2 linked regions of the Canis lupus familiaris genome follow. The protein of the gene in region 1 purifies or fractionates together with the protein of each later gene. This does not show direct contact. Links are inferred from orthologs where the notes say so. Each region holds a gene or a part of one and is shown on either strand. Other genes may lie near its edges.

Region 1 (8,013 bases):
TTATGAACCATCCATCACTAACTTTAAGTAATTCATTCTCTTAACACTATAAATTCTACCAAACAAAATATACCTGAATATCTAGCAGTATTGTTAATTATGCACTCGGACTCTTGGGATAAAAGAAGGTAAGGAGTTAATTTTCCTAAAAGTAGTCTCATTGGCATTAAGGAAAAACAAGTGTAAGTTCCTCTCCCTACATCAGTAGACCTAAGTTTTTCCAGTGTGTCCAAGATTTACTCTCTAAAAATGGACCTACCAGCACCTTCTAACTACCCACACTTCTCTCAGCAGGGCACCAGTTCATGTGGAGTACAGAGGAGTCCTCAAAGAAGTATTTATATTAGACTGACAGAATGCACAATCAGACCTCTGTCTGATGGAGCTGCAGCCTCTTGAGAATCTGGAGGAATAGCCAATGAAGGAAGGGGGAAGGATGTGAAGGAGCAGGAGAGAGAAAAATCCCAATCAGGACCCCGTTCTAATCAAGCTCTCAAAATACCTTTTCTGCTGAGGATGCCACAGACTTTTCTCAGAACTGTTTTACTGCTGTTTAACAATCTTTTGGTTTCAGGAATAGTGGTCGCACACTAAAGTGGGAAAATATAATACAATAAAGACCAAAATGAAGAAAAATCCAAATAACTGAAAGAAAGAAAGTTTATATCCATCAACTGGCCAAAATTCACTCTTTTCAAAATCAGCTTCCTCCCTAAATCCATTTTTGGACAAAGAACTTTTCTTTTGCTCATCCCCAGGCTCAAAAGCTTAGGGTCATCTTAGAGTCCTCCCTCTCCTTCAAGCCCTGTAATTAGTTAGGCCTCAAATTCCACAGATTCCTCCTTCAACATCTCTCATTCCATTCACTTAGATAGTTTTTTACTGCATACTGACTTATGCTAGTCTCCAGGTGACTTGGTTGGCAGGCACAGGATGATAGGATGTGGAGAGATACACAGAAATAGCTACTGAACAAGTCTACTAAGTGAGGGGTTATTAACAAGTCTAATAAATGACTGGTTGAGAAAAAAATACCACAAATATTTTGAAGTGTGAGATGATGTCTGGCTGGAGTAATCAGGAAACACTTAGGGGGCAGGCAGTGAGAACTCAAGCTGGGCCTTGAATCCAAGGTCTAACTTTGATGAGATGTAAATCGTGAAAGGAACTGGGAAGGAAAGCACTGAGAGAATAGCAAATGTGGCAGCCACCTGTCACTTAAGGTCCAGGAAGGGACTGGTAAGAGTAAGGGCTGGGGCCAGATAGTGGCAACTTCTAGTATGAAAAGTCTTTTATTTTTTTTTTTTAATTTATTTTATTTTTTTATTTTTATTTTTTGAAAAGTCTTTAACCCTTAGCCTACTGGGTCATTTCTCTTCTATCACTTGCACCTTTATATCTGACACCTTTCTTCTTTCATCAGAAACCCCAGTGCCAAGGTGCAAATTAAAGGTCGGTCATAGCTGCCTTTGTGATCACAGGGTATTCCTTCTGCATTTACAATTTGTAGGACAGGCTGCTGCTGTAAGTGGCTGAATAGAAAGCTGGTCCCTTTAGCTCTAACAAAGCTAGACTCAGGCTGGACTAGAAAGCAGATCTTATTCTGGGAATGCTTCAAAACTCTATCAGCCTTCAAAACCTTAACTAGGGCTGTGATCTCAGATTGAGAATACCCAATTCAATCCTTCTCAAATTCACTTTCATTATATGACTCCCTTGCTCAAGGATCTACAATGATTTCTATTACCTACACAATAGGTCTGGAATCCAAGGTTATGCATAATCCTATCTCACCAAAACTTTTCATCCTAACCTGTTACTACCAACCTCCTTTCCTATTCAGGAGCGCTAAATTACAAGAGTAGTGTTAACAGTCTTGGTTGAGCTGAGTAAAATTTAAACTAGACAGTAGTTTAGGCCATTTTTTTTCAGGCATAAAAAATATAAATTTTACAGAAGTATTTCTTTCTTTTTTTTTTTTTTTTTTACAAAAGTATTTCTAAGAACTTGGCAGTCCTTATCCATGCTGTCTTCTCAAGTGTATTTTGAATTTGAAAAATCCAAAATTATTGTTCATAATGTATAAATTGTGAAAGAATAGTTACAAATGGCACTGATATAACAGTAGGGGGTAGGCATGTGCATTTTCCAAAATCAGTGAACGTCACACTTAAGATTGTACACTTCACTGAATATAAACTGTACACCAAAATAAGCTATAAACAAACTAGTTAATAATATGCCTACCAAAGCATGTAGGAGGAAGTGTACTGATATCTGCAATTTAAATAGATGGAAAGATACTCCATAAAGCAAGTTAAACTGTTAATGGGACGCCTGGGTGGCTCAGCAGTTGAACAGCTGAACGTCTTTCAGCTCAGGGTGTGATCCCGGATCCGAGGATCCAGTCCTGCACCAGGCTCCTTGCAGGGAGCCTGCTTCTCCCATTGCCTGTGTCTCTGCCTCTCTCTCTGCATCTCTCATGAATAAATAAAATCTTAAAAAAAAAATGTTAATGGTAGTTTAGGTGGTGTGTGTAGATCTGCCTGTTGCAAAATTCTCTTTGTTTGACATTTTTCTTTTTCAAAAAATACTTATTCATGAGAGACACAGAGAGAGAGCATGAGGCCAATACACAGGCAGAGGGAGAAGCAGACTCCACGCAAAGAGCCCTATGTGGGACTCGACCCCAAGACCCCGGGATCGTGCCCTGAGCCGAGGGCAGAGGCTCAACTGCTGAGCCACCCAGGCGTCCCAGAAATTTTTCATAATAAAAAACACTGAGGGAAATGGCATTGATAACACACTATACTTTATAAAGCTGTAAGAAGTTAAATTTGGTTGCATAACAGCATCAGGCTTTTGCTCTTTGATGCTTCCTTGCCACCTTGCACATACCCCATACAGCCCATTTTATGGTGTGGTAAAACTGTTTGCATGGTTGTCTCTCCCACCACAATAGAAGTTCCTGGTGGGCACAGATCTAGTCTAATCTGTATTTATATTCCTATTGCTTTGTATCGTGTTTGGAGAATAGTATGTGTTCAACAATGGTGGGATGACTGCATGAAAGTGGAACTGCTAAGGTTCACTGTATACTTTCTCACATTCACTTTATTCATTTCTCACATATTCTAAAAGTTAATATGTTCAGTTTTCTTTTTTAATATGTTCAATTTTCAAAAGCAAGGTCTTTTACTTTTTCCCAAGCACACAAAATCTCCAGAGACAAAACTCATTTGTATTCAAGAGATTTCGTATTCCATTACTTAAGTCTGAACGCCTCCTAACACTCAACGTTTTCTTTTTTTCTGAAAGACTGAAGTCTCTGACTCCCAAGGAAATCTGGAATTTGTTTTATTCAAATCTTAGATAAGCCGTGAGAACTATGAGGTCCCTGAACTGGTCAAAAGCGGGAAACTGATGATCTGGGGGAAAGATAAAAACAAACACCACATAAAAAAAGTCATGAAGCAACTTAACCAAGAACTTTACCAAGAAACGAGATAGAACGTCTTAAGGGGCGTCCGCGGGACGTCTCAAACCCTCCCCTCACCCCCACCCCCACCCCCACCCCCACCCCCACCCCGATGGCTTCTCCCCTCCTCTCTCCAAGTCAGCCAGTCAGAGGCCGCGCCGCGCGGCCACTCCCAACATGCCGCGGGACTCCGGCTGACGCCGCCGAAGACGCTGCTTCTCACGTTAACCTCCGCCAGACGACGTGGTTTCGCGGCGGGAGAACCAGGTTCTGGGCTGGACGGCCCGAGTCTGAGTCCCAGCCTGCCCCCCCCTCCTGCCAGATGTGCGACTCTCGCCCTTTCCCGGCTCCAGTCTCCTCATCTGCGCCCCGGTGAGGACTCTAACCCCAGCTGGCGCAGAGTGACTGCCGAGATGAGGAGCGTGGAGGCGCCTGAAGGAGGATGCAAGCGACTCCCAAGCACGCGGTGTTCACAACCAGCCCCAGACCAATCTCTCAAAGTCACCGCCGTCCCTCACTCCCTTCCTGCCCGGCGGCCGTCCTGAGGCCGCTCCCTCTGGTCCGCCCCATGCGGAAGCCGCGCGGCGCCGTCCGCCGTACCTGCAGCCACTTGGTCAGCGGGGCCCTCCTGCTGACCCATGACGAAGTCGTGCACGAGGCCCCACAGCGCGCCCGTAGGCGCCACCGCCTCCAGAGCGGCGGCGGCGGCCATGACGCGAACCAGAGACCGCGGGAGGGGAAGTGGGCGGCGGCACGGGACGGGCCTCTGAGCGCACGCGCCCCCTGGGCCAATCGCCTGGCGAAGGCGAAAGAGGCGGGGCTGTCCGTGGATCACGTGCCTGCCGGCCCCCGGCCAGGCAGCTCCAGCTCCAGGGAGGGCTGGGACGGTCCCTCCCTGGGGGGCGGGGCTTGGGGCCTGGGCGGTGGCGCGGGCCGGGGAGGCGGCTGCCGGGCACGCAGCCGGGGGCCGTTGAGGGCGAATGATTCCCGGCCCGGCTACCCGGGAGACGGGCGGCTGGGCGGTCACCTGGCCGGTCACCTGGCCGGGTGGGGCCAGGGGGCGGTACACACCTGGAGGAAGCCAATGAGAAAACCAGGCCCGGTCCGAGGGGGCGGTGCCGCCGGTCACATGCGCACCTGGGGCGGGCGGCGGCGGAGGCGCGGGCACCGCGGGCGGGCGGCGGGGAGCTGGGCCGGGCTGGGGCGGGGTTAGGCAGGTGAGTGACAGCCTCTGGGGGGCCGGCCCCAGCTGGGAGCCCCGAGCTAGCAGGGAGTAGCTGCGGCGGTGCCCGCCCCCTCTCTCCGCCCCTCCAGCGGAGCTGGTCTCCGGCCGGGCACCGTCGCGGGCCCCCCTGGCCCGGCCACCTGGGACTGTGCTGAGGAATCGGCCACCTCCCTCTCCCCTCGCCCGCAAAGTTTGTGGCGAAGCCGGCGCCCGGGCCGAGCGCGCCCCCGGGGGGAGATCCGGGAGCGCCCGATGTTGGGAGGCGGGAGCCGTTGACCCGGGACGCCGCGGTCCGGGACAGGAGCTCCGAGCCGCCGACAAGCCCGCCGCCTCCCGTGCATGGGGCCCGGCTGAAGAGCCAGCATGGGCAACTGCGTGGGGAGACAGCGCCGGGAGAGGCCGGCCGCCCCGGGACACCCCCGCAAGCGAGCAGGTAACGAGAGGGAGGGAGCGGGGCCACGCGCCTCGCCAGTTGTCCCCCTCCTCGCCTCAGCCCCGGGCCGCCCAAGCGACCTCCCACGGCTCCCGGCGCCTGGGTCTCCCAGTGGCTGCTACGTAGCCAGACGGGGGCCCGCTCCCCAGCCCTGGTGGCGGGGGGAGCGGAGTTGGGGCAACTGCGAGCCCTGACCCGGCTGCGAGCCCAACTCGCTCCAACTGGGAAGCTCCGAGGGGGGGCGGGGGCGGGGGCGGGGGCGGGGGCAGGAAATGTTTGCAGACCGCGGCGGGGCCGGCGGAGAGGAGCGGGGCCCGGGACGGGGGCGCCGCTGGCCTGGCAGCCGGGCTGGGGTCGGAGGCTGGCCCGTCGGGGCACGGCGCGGGGAGCCAGCGTCCCCAGCACTCGGAGCGAGCGAGAACTGTCGCTTTTCCGAAGACTGTCTGTGTCATTATCCGGCTGCAGATCGTGTCTGCCGGAATCCAACTGGCAAAAGCAGCGCAGGACTCTGGGAAAGAAATCTTTATTTCTCCCGCAAGGCTTTTTAGAGCCTCCCGGCTGTCTGGAGTCTAGAGAAGGTGGGGTGCGGGGTGGGAATCGCTGGGGGTTGCTGGGATCCTTCCCAGCCTGGGGATGGGATCTGCTCCCTGGTGATCCGCAGGGGCTGGGCAGCGCCTTCTCACTTTCTCGGTACACTCCTCCTATACTGGCGCTTCGCCCTGGGAAGAGGTCTGGCGTTCGTTTCCCCGGGTCTTGTACTCACTTCCTTCTCGGAGGGTGTTGCAAGGACCTTCTGAGAATGATAAAAATCGTATACTTCAGAGTTGAAAGGGACCTTCAAACTCGTCTGGAGTCCAGATAGACCTAACTCCTCCTCCTGTCTGTGTAGAAGCCCAGATCCAGAGAGGTTAAACCACTTGCCCAAAGCCACACAGCGAGTTAGCAGTGCAGCTGGGGCTACTACGCAGTCTCCTCATCCACCCAGTTGCCACATATCCCTTTATGTAAGAGGGGCCACAGCCATGGTTGTTAATGAAGTGGAAACTCTAGTTGGAATTTCCGGCCTCCTTTGACACTGAAGGTGTGTTGCTTGGGTTGTGGAAACTGGGAAGGAAGATGAGGGCAAATGTGCGGGAAGCAGAGAAGGATGTCTGTGTGGTGGACAGGATGACTTGTGGAAGAAGAAAAATGTTTTTCGGGGGGTGGAGGGACGAGGTAAAATTTAACATTGAAAAAAACCTTTTGGCAACCCTGGCCATTCTGACTGAGGAAAGTTGATTCTCAAACCCAAGGGCTTTCCTTCGTTCATTCATTCATTTGCCCGCCAAATACTTATTATTTATGTGCTCAGTCCACATGATTGATTTTGTAGCATTTTTCGCTGGTGCCGATCCTCTCGTGCTTGAAGCTCTTCCCTTCTTGGCATTAGACTATCCTGCTTTTTTCCTCTGATCACTGTTCACGATCACATCGCGTCCTAGATGTGCGCACACCCATGGTTCAGCTTGACTCCCCCCACCCCCCATACACCTTCCCAGAGAAATCATACTCAGTCCCACAACTCTGTCCACTGGGGGAGACCCCTATACTGTATCTTCAGCTATTACCTGTCAAATTCCAGACTCACATCAGTAAAAGCCCACTGGACACGCTGATATAGTTATCATTAGAGTCAGCACTTCTAAAACCAAGCTCTGCATCTCTCCCTTCAGCCAGCTTCCCTTTACTCTTCCATTCTTGAAGCTGCCTAACGTCATACTTTGGAGATGTCTCTCTGCTGGCTTTCTCTGCCTCTCAGCCAGTCAGCCACTGCGACCTGCTGGTTCTTCCTTGGGAAGCCATACAAACCTGCTCCTTCCACTCTGCTTCACTCCCTTGTCATCTCAAGTCTACCCCACCTCCCTGGCTAAAGTTAGTTCCCCACCAAAAGCAAGTTCATCTTCGGTCACTCATCTGATGTCTGCACACTGTGCACCCTACCACCCTACCCCCAGAAGATGTTTGTCAAATTAACTTTTTTTGAATCCTATAATTCTATGTTTAGAAATCTTTTTTTTAAACAGAAACTTTTTTTTTTTTTTTAAAGTAAATTCTACACCCAGAATGGGGCTCGAACTCACAACTGCAAGATTAAGAGTTGCGTGCTCTACTGGCTGAGCCAGCCACATGCCTGTTTAGAAATCTTTTTGCACTTCTCCGCTTCTGTAGGAACTTTAACTTTCAAGGCTGTCCAGTTTGGTCGGGTCCTTTTTAAAGGCATGATTTTTTTTCTTTTCCCTTTATTAAGGCCACCAGTGTTTGCTCCATTGCCATTTTCCCCTTATCAAGAGCCTTTCTTCCTTTCAAGGTTTGCCTCAAATCCCATATCTTTCTAGAAGCACCTTGCCTGACAATTCCAAATCCTCCCCTTCTGAGGAGAACTGCAGACACATTATGCCATTTACTTAACAATTATCTACTCCACATAATTAGTCATTTCTTTGATGTTTATAGTCTTGTATCAGCACCTGTCCTGCAAGCCTTGAAGACCTGGGTTCTGTCCTATCCTTATGTATTTGTCTCTCACACCCGCTCATATAGCCATACAGATACACACATGCAGGTGCGCGCACACACACACAGTCAGCATTTAGCACACTGACTTGAACAGAGGAAGCACCCAATATTGCCGATTTTAGAGCATTAACCTAACTGCATCCTAGTGTCTGAATTTTTCACGTAAACATTTTACTGAAGTATATATCTGCATTTTTTTTAACCTGCTAGTGTATCATTTTTTCAATTCTGTAGGTCCCCCTATGAATAGCTTTATTCATAAAGTCCAAAGCCAAGAGGGACTCTCTAGGATGACAAGTTTGGTATGAAGGAAGGGATCCT
Region 2 (7,523 bases), on another chromosome or scaffold:
GAAAAATGTAAAGCAATATCAGTTAAAAATACATAGTTTTCTTCTTCATTCTTAATTACTTCTAAATAGGCAGTTTAATACAGGAATAAGCTTTTAAAAGAAAACTTTGATTTCTAAAATAAACTGATTTGAGGTGAATATATAAAACATGACTGAGGTATGACTGGATTAGACTGCTATTCATTTTTTATATATTAGTATGAAAACAAATGGATGAATAGGACTATAAAATACAAATATTTATGTGAAATTTAAAGTGCCTCAGGAAACTATGTATCTTTCAGATTAAGTATATAGGTAAAGAAAATTTGTTAGAAGAAAATATTTTGTATGGATCACTCTCAAAACTCAAAAACAACAAAACTTACATTCTAAACATAAAATAAGACTTAAAAACCTCTAATACCAAAGAATTAAAGTGAAAAATATTTTTAAAATAAAAAAACTATACCATTTATCCAATGAAGGAGTTGTCATTTAAAATAGAGTTTAATACAAGCATGACAACATATTTTTATAGTATTATAGTTAAGTATTATTATCTAACACCAGGAACACACCTTTATTTTTGGAAGGCAACTGATTAAAGTTCTTTATATCTGTTTCACAAGTTTTTCCTAGTTCCAATTCATTTATATGAGTTTTTTTTCATATTACTATCAATGTTATCAATTTTACTTTCTTTAATATGCATGAGTCTATTCAATGTTGTGACTGTGCAATCCTCAGCTTTCATTTCTTGGACTGAATCCACTCCCTTAATAGTTCTAATTTCAAAAAGATCTTCAACTAAAATACAATTTGAATGATCAACAAATCTATTGTCTCTATCACTTTCAACTAGTTCATTCTTTTCTTCATTTGTATCCGCAGGATCATAAAGCTCAGGTGAAAAATAGATAGATTCATCCTCTGCTTCTGTTTCAGAAGCTCTATGTGAAGTGGAAGATTTAGCTTCTTCACCAAGTAGAGACAATTCAATGTCTGGATCCACGGCTTCTTCACAGCAAAATAGTTGTTTGGAACAATTTCTTTTAAGAAGAGTAGAATCAATCTTTACTGATGAAATGACTTCTGATTGAGAGCATGATGCATTTAACATCGGAGATGAGGATTCACATTTATCAGTGAGTGGCAAAACTGTTTTATAACCCTCTTCTGTTTCTAAAGTGGAAATGCTAGAGGCACAGTCCTCTGGTGACCTGAACTTAGGTCCTGCAGTCAGAATTTCACCAGTAAAATAACGTTCCAAAGAATTAAAGTTAGACCAGCTAACTGGCTTTGTTTGTTTGTTGAAGATTGGGCTTGTGGATCTGGAAATCACATTTTTTTCTGCTTTGACTGCCTGGGCAAACTCTTCTGATAATACAGGATCATCTACGAATACAAAATTTAAAAGTGTTAATTTTCTGCTTCTAATATAGTAATTTTTGTTAAAAATACTGAAATAACTGTATAGGATCCTAATTTAAAGTCCACAACCAATAGCAGCAGGACTTCCATATTAGAATATAGAGAACAAAATGTGAACTCTGAAAGGAATCTTAGATCTCCAGTGATTCTGAGCCCAAGTTATAATGCTGTCTGGTAAACTATCAAATTCCACACCAGGGACCTCAGAAGTCAATGAAAAAAGGAGGGGTAAAAGGAATAGGAAGAGGGCTGAGTAACGGAGGAAACACACTATAAAACTCTGCCTTAAAAATTCACTAACCAAGGACTGGGAAAAACTGATCTAGATTAATTCCCTAAAGGAAACTGGCAACCACAAAGACTAAATTATTTGTTTAAAGTTATAAAACTGGTTAGTAATCAGACCCAAACTAGAACTTAGGTTTCCTGATTACCAGTCTAATGGCTTTGAATTCACTAGGACATTTACTTAAAAAAAAAAAACAAAACAAAAAAACCAAAAAAACCCCAACCCAACAGGTACAACAAAGTAAATATTTAATGCTTCATATATTAAATTGTCATATATTAGTTAAAACAATTAAAATAATATCCAATGATACAGATCACAGTTTGGCAAACTTTTTCTGTAACTGGCCAGACAGTATAGATTTTAGGCTTTCTGGATCATATTACTGGCATACCTTCCTGTTTTTTAAATTTTTTATAAATTCATTTTTTATTGGTGTTCAATTTGCCAACATATAGAATAACACCCAGTGCTCATCCCATCAAGTGCCCCCCTCCGTGCCCATCACCCAGTCACCCCCACCCTCCCACCCTGGCATACCTTCTTTATTGTACTTTGCAAATAATGTGTTTTTTACAAATTCAAAGTTTGTGGCAACCTTGCATCAAGCAAGCATAGAGGCAACAGTTTTTAAAAAGCATTTGCTCATTTCATGTCTCTGTATCACATTTTGGTAATTCTTGTAATATCTCAACCTTTTTCATTATTATATTTGTGTGGTCACCTGCGATCAGTGATCTTTGATGTTACTACTGTAACTATTTGGGGCACTATAAATCACAGCCACGTAAGATGGTGAAGTTGGTAGACAAATGTTTGTGTTCTGACTGCTTGACTGACCAGCTGTTCCTCCATTTTTTCCCCTTTCCTAAGGCCTCCCTATTTTCTGAGATATAACAATATTAAGATTAGGCCAATTAATAATCCTCCAATGGCCTCTAAGCATCCAAGTGAAAGGAAGAGTCACAAATCTCTCACTTTAAATCAAAAGCTAGAAACGATACAGTTAGTGAGAAAGACATGTTGAAACTAAGATAGATCAAGCAGTAATTCTGACTTTCAGGTTTTATTATTTAAGAAATACACTTTTGGGGGCACCTGGGTCGCACAGTCAGTTAAGTGTCTGACACTTTTTTCAACTCAGGTCATGATCTCAGGGTCATGAGATTAAGCACTGCATCCAGCTCTGTGCTCAGCATGAAGTCTGCTTGTGATTCTCCCTCTGCTTCTCCTGCTCGTGTTCTCTCTCTCTCTCTCTAAAATAAATAAATAAATCAAAAAAAAAAAAAAAAGGAAATACATTATACATTTTTATAAGGCAATAGCTGCCATAGATCGGGATTCCCTTGATGAATCTAGGCAAAAAAAGTTGAAAACCTTCTGGAGAGGATTCACCATGCTAAATGCCATTAAGAATATTCATGATTCATGGGAAGAGGTCAAAATATCAATATTAAGAGGAGTTTGGAAGGAGCTGGTTCCAACCCTCATGGATGACTTTGAGGGATTCAAGACTTCAGTGGAGATGTGGTAGAAATATCAAGAGAACTAGAATGAGAAGGGAAGCTTGAAAACGTGATTGAATTTCTGCCGTCTCATAACAAAACTTCAATGGAAGAGGAATTGCTTCTTACACATGAGCAGGAAGTGTTTTCTTTCTTTCTTTCTTTCTTTCTTTCTTTCTTTCTTTCTTTCTTTCTTTCTTTCTTTCTTTCTTTCTTTCTTTCTTTCTTTCTTTCTTTTTCTTTTTCTTTTTTTTTCAGGAAGTGGTTTCTTGAGATGAAAGCTACTCCTAGTGAAGATGCTGTGAAAATTCTTGAAATGACTACAAAGAACTTAGAATATTACCTAAAGTTAGTTAATAAAGTAGCAACAGGGTTTGAGACGACTGACTCCAATTTTATTTTTTGTTTTGTTTTAAAGATTTTACTTATTTATTCATAAGAGACACACAGAGAGAGGCAGAGACACAGGCAGAGGGAGAAGCAGGCTCCATGCAGGGAGCCCACTGTGGACTCCATCCCAGGACTCCAGGATCATGCCCTGAGCTGAAGGCAGAGGTCCAACTACGGAGCCACGTAGGCGTCCCAGACTCCAATTTTGAAAGGAAGTTCTACTTTTAAGTAAAACAGTATCGCATGCTGTAGAGAAATCATTCATGAAAGGAAGAGTCAATTGATGTGGCAAACTTCAATGTGGTATTTTTTTTTTTTTAAGAAATTGCTGCAATCACCCCAGCCTTTGGCAAACACCACCCTGATCAGTTAGTAGCCATCAAAACTGAGGCATGACACTCCACCAGCAAAAAGATAATGACTTATTGAAAGCTCAGATGGCTAGTATTTTTTAGCAATAAAATATTTTTAAATTAAGGTATATACATTATTTTTAAAGACAGTGTTATTGTACACTTAAGAGATTGTAGTATAATGTAAATATAACTTTTATATGTACTGTGAAACCAAAAAATTCACTTGAATTGCTTTATTGTGATACTTGCTTTATCGTGGTGGTCTAGAACCAAACCCACAATATCTCTGAGGTACGTATGTACTCAATTATGCTGTTCCAGTACAAAACATACTATGACTAAACTCTGCTGTTGTGTACCATACGTAACTGAATAGACATGACTATGTTCCATTAGACGTGCTTTATGAAAACAGATGGCCAAATTTGGTCCATAAGCCATAGTTTGTCAATCCTTGACAGACTATTCTTGTGTGTGTGTGTGTGTGTATTCTTATATGTGTGTGTGTATATATATATGTATATTTTTTAAAGACCTATTTATTTATTTATTTATTTGAGAGAACGAGAGAGAGCCCACACAGTGGAGGAGGGGCAGGAGGAGAGGGAGAGAATCTCAAGCAGACTCCTTGCTGAGTGCAGAGCCCTATGTGGAGCTCAATCTCACAACTCTGAGATCATAACCTGAGCCCAAACCCCCAGAGTCTGATGCTTAATCAACTGAACCACCCAGATACTCCTCTATTTTTTACAATTATTTTTTTATCATTTAGTATAAATGACTCATATTTACCTAAACTAAGAAATTCATGTTTTTTACTTGAATACTGCTCTTGTATCTATAAATAGACCAATTTTTATTATAGCTTTTAGAAAAATATCTACCATTTGTACAGTATATTTTACTATGCTGTGATATTTATTCATGATATTCATGATATTCATATTATTAGATCTTTACAGCCCATCCTAAGAGATAGGTGTGTATAGATTCTTTTTTCTATTAAGACTCAAAAAAGTTACATGACTTGCTCAGGTCACACAGCTAGGTGGTGGCAAACCTTGTGAGTGGAGAACTACAAACTATGCTTAGATCTCTTGACAAAAGTTTGTTCCCATTCCAATACACCATATTATTTTATTATTTTATGGTAACACTTTCTATTTCAAACCGTGTTTTAAAAAATTAATCTATAGCACAATAAATATCATTTCACTGGATATAATGAAAGACTTCTCTATCAAATGTAAATAGGCAAAACTTTTCAAACCTTTTTCCTTTTTGGAGATGATGCCTCTTGGTAGAGGTGGACTTTCAGTTATTGTAAGACACTGTTGTTCTTGGACACGTATTTTTGCTTCACCTTTCCTAGGATTTTCTGGTATTAGAGGACTTGCTGCTTCTAAGTAAGTTAATGTATTGTCCTTCAAACAGGTCACTTCAAGTATAGACTCACTGTCTTGTGTAAACTTTCTGTCCTCTTTGGATACATTAATGACCTTTTGGTGCTTTCTGGAAAAATCAGACAAGGACTCCAGTGCACTTTCAAAGGTTGAATGGTGCTGAATCTGCTGCCGTATCCATTTGGAAAGTCCTAAGGAAAAAAGTAAACCCAAGGAAGAAACTGTAGTTATTTAGTTTCTTAAGCTATTATGTTTTGGGGCACCTGGGTGGCTCAGTGGTTGAGCATCTGCCTTTGGCTCACTCAAGTCATGATCCTGGGTCCTGCAATCAGGTCCAGCATTGGGGGGCTCTACACAGGAAGCCTACTTATCCCTCTGTCTATGTCTCTGCCTCTTTCTGTGTCTCTTATGAATAAATAAATAAAATCTTAAAAAATATGTATTAAGAAAACACTTAGATCATTTTTCTAATGAAGTAATCCACATGAATTTAGGGTATATAGAATGATTCTCAGTATTTTTCCTGCCTAAACATCTTCACATGTATACTCTGCTCATGTATCAGTAACATTTTTCTTTATGTGCAGTGATTATCAACTGGAGGGAGGGAAGAGGCAGAGGGGGAAATGTATTATTTGTCAGTTTAGGATAACTGGGGAAATAAGGCAAATTTAATTTCATCATAATTTTCCACAAATAATGCCTGCTCTTTAATTTTAAGGAAACTAAAAGTTGTAAACAACAATCAACAGTCTTCCATTCCAACTTTCTAACTTTGACTTCCTTCACAAAAATAAATTCAAGATTCCTTTTTTGTTGCTCTTCTCCCCCAATTCCAAATGTCTTAAACTATCCAGGGAATGAAAAGAATAACAATGTTATTAGGGACAAATCATGTCCTGTTTGTATATTTATTACATAATTCTTTTTTAATATATAAATAACCAAGTTATAAGGGATAGGATTTGACCTGTGACATGCGAGTAATGTATAAACTTGAACCACATAAAAGTATAAGTGTTTTGTTTAATTTCAGAACGAAATTCAAAATCAGACATTTGGATTTCTAAAAAATAAATATTCTCTGCTGGTTGGTATTACTAAAACTATCATCATCTTCTGAAGTAGTTTAAAAAGTCACTATGGTATTTTAAGTTAGAAGAAAAGTAAGACAGGGCTTCAAGTTTCAAGTTGTAATTCATTCATTTCAAATACATTCCCCTTTAGTATTTTTTTTTTTAATGGAGCTTTTCTATATTTAATGCAAATCAAATGGAGTTCTATAGTTAATACAAACTGAATTTTTTAAAAAAAAGATTTTATTTATTTATTCATGAGAGACACAGAAAGAGGGAGAGACACAGGCAGAGGGAGAAGCAGACTCCTCACAGGGAACCTGATATGGAACTCGATCCCGGAATCACGACCTGAGCCAAAGACAGACACTCAACTGCTCAGCCACCCAGGCGTCCCTACAAGCTGAATTTAAACAAAGACTAGAAATCAAAAGGAATTTGTATGTTGTGCTATTACTGTCTCGATAAGAAGACTTCAAATTTTTATGAATCTCAGAAAAAATAAATAAAAACCATACAAAAATAATGAAAAATTCTTCATTTAAAATCTGTCAGGGATGCTTAGCTGGCTCAGTAAGTGGAGTATGCAACTCTTGATCTTGGGATTTTAAGTTCGAGCCTCACATTGGCTATACAGACTAAAAAAATACAATTTTTAAAAAAATCAAATTTGATCAGATAAAAATTTAACTTCAAGATTTTAAAATAAGAAAAACTTTTTTTCATATTTTGCATTTTTTAGTTGAAGTATAGTTGGCAAGAATAATATTTTAATTTTTAATTTTTTAATGATTTTATTTTTAAGTAATCTCCACATCCAACATGGGGGGCTCAAATTTACAATCCCAAGATCAAGAGTCACATGTTCTATCTACTGAGCCAGTCAGGTAGCCCTAGAAGCACATTTTAAATAAACATTTCCCTTAAAGTTCTTTATTTTTGTTAACTTGGAAAATAATTATAACAATTAAACAAGAAACTTTCTAAAATGGACAATTTTTAGTTATAAACTTCTTTCATGTTTGGAACTTTCTGTAATCAAAGAAAGCCTTTTTGGTGCAAAATGTCCATTTGCTTTTGAAAACACAAAG

The links.
Region 2: the proteins of MMS19 (region 1) and BRIP1 purify together in Homo sapiens (affinity purification with western blotting; 3 studies listed by BioGRID and IntAct, with this or other methods). This does not show direct contact. The link is inferred for Canis lupus familiaris from reciprocal best matches to the Homo sapiens genes MMS19 and BRIP1.

The regions. Positions count from the first base shown.
Region 1 is NC_049249.1:10,963,719-10,971,731, forward strand, and holds the start of MMS19 (MMS19 nucleotide excision repair protein homolog), read right to left. Parts: upstream 4,238-8,013; 5' UTR 4,191-4,237; coding exon 4,079-4,190; intron 591-4,078; exon of another isoform or gene 503-590; intron 1-502. Other genes in the region: UBTD1 (ubiquitin domain-containing protein 1), read left to right, coding at 5,067-5,136. UniProt on the Homo sapiens protein: Key component of the cytosolic iron-sulfur protein assembly (CIA) complex, a multiprotein complex that mediates the incorporation of iron-sulfur cluster into apoproteins specifically involved in DNA metabolism and genomic integrity.
Region 2 is NC_049230.1:34,941,137-34,948,659, reverse strand, and holds part of BRIP1 (Fanconi anemia group J protein), read right to left. Parts: intron 5,548-7,523; coding exon 5,224-5,547; intron 1,378-5,223; coding exon 629-1,377; 3' UTR 1-628. UniProt on the Homo sapiens protein: DNA-dependent ATPase and 5'-3' DNA helicase required for the maintenance of chromosomal stability. Acts late in the Fanconi anemia pathway, after FANCD2 ubiquitination.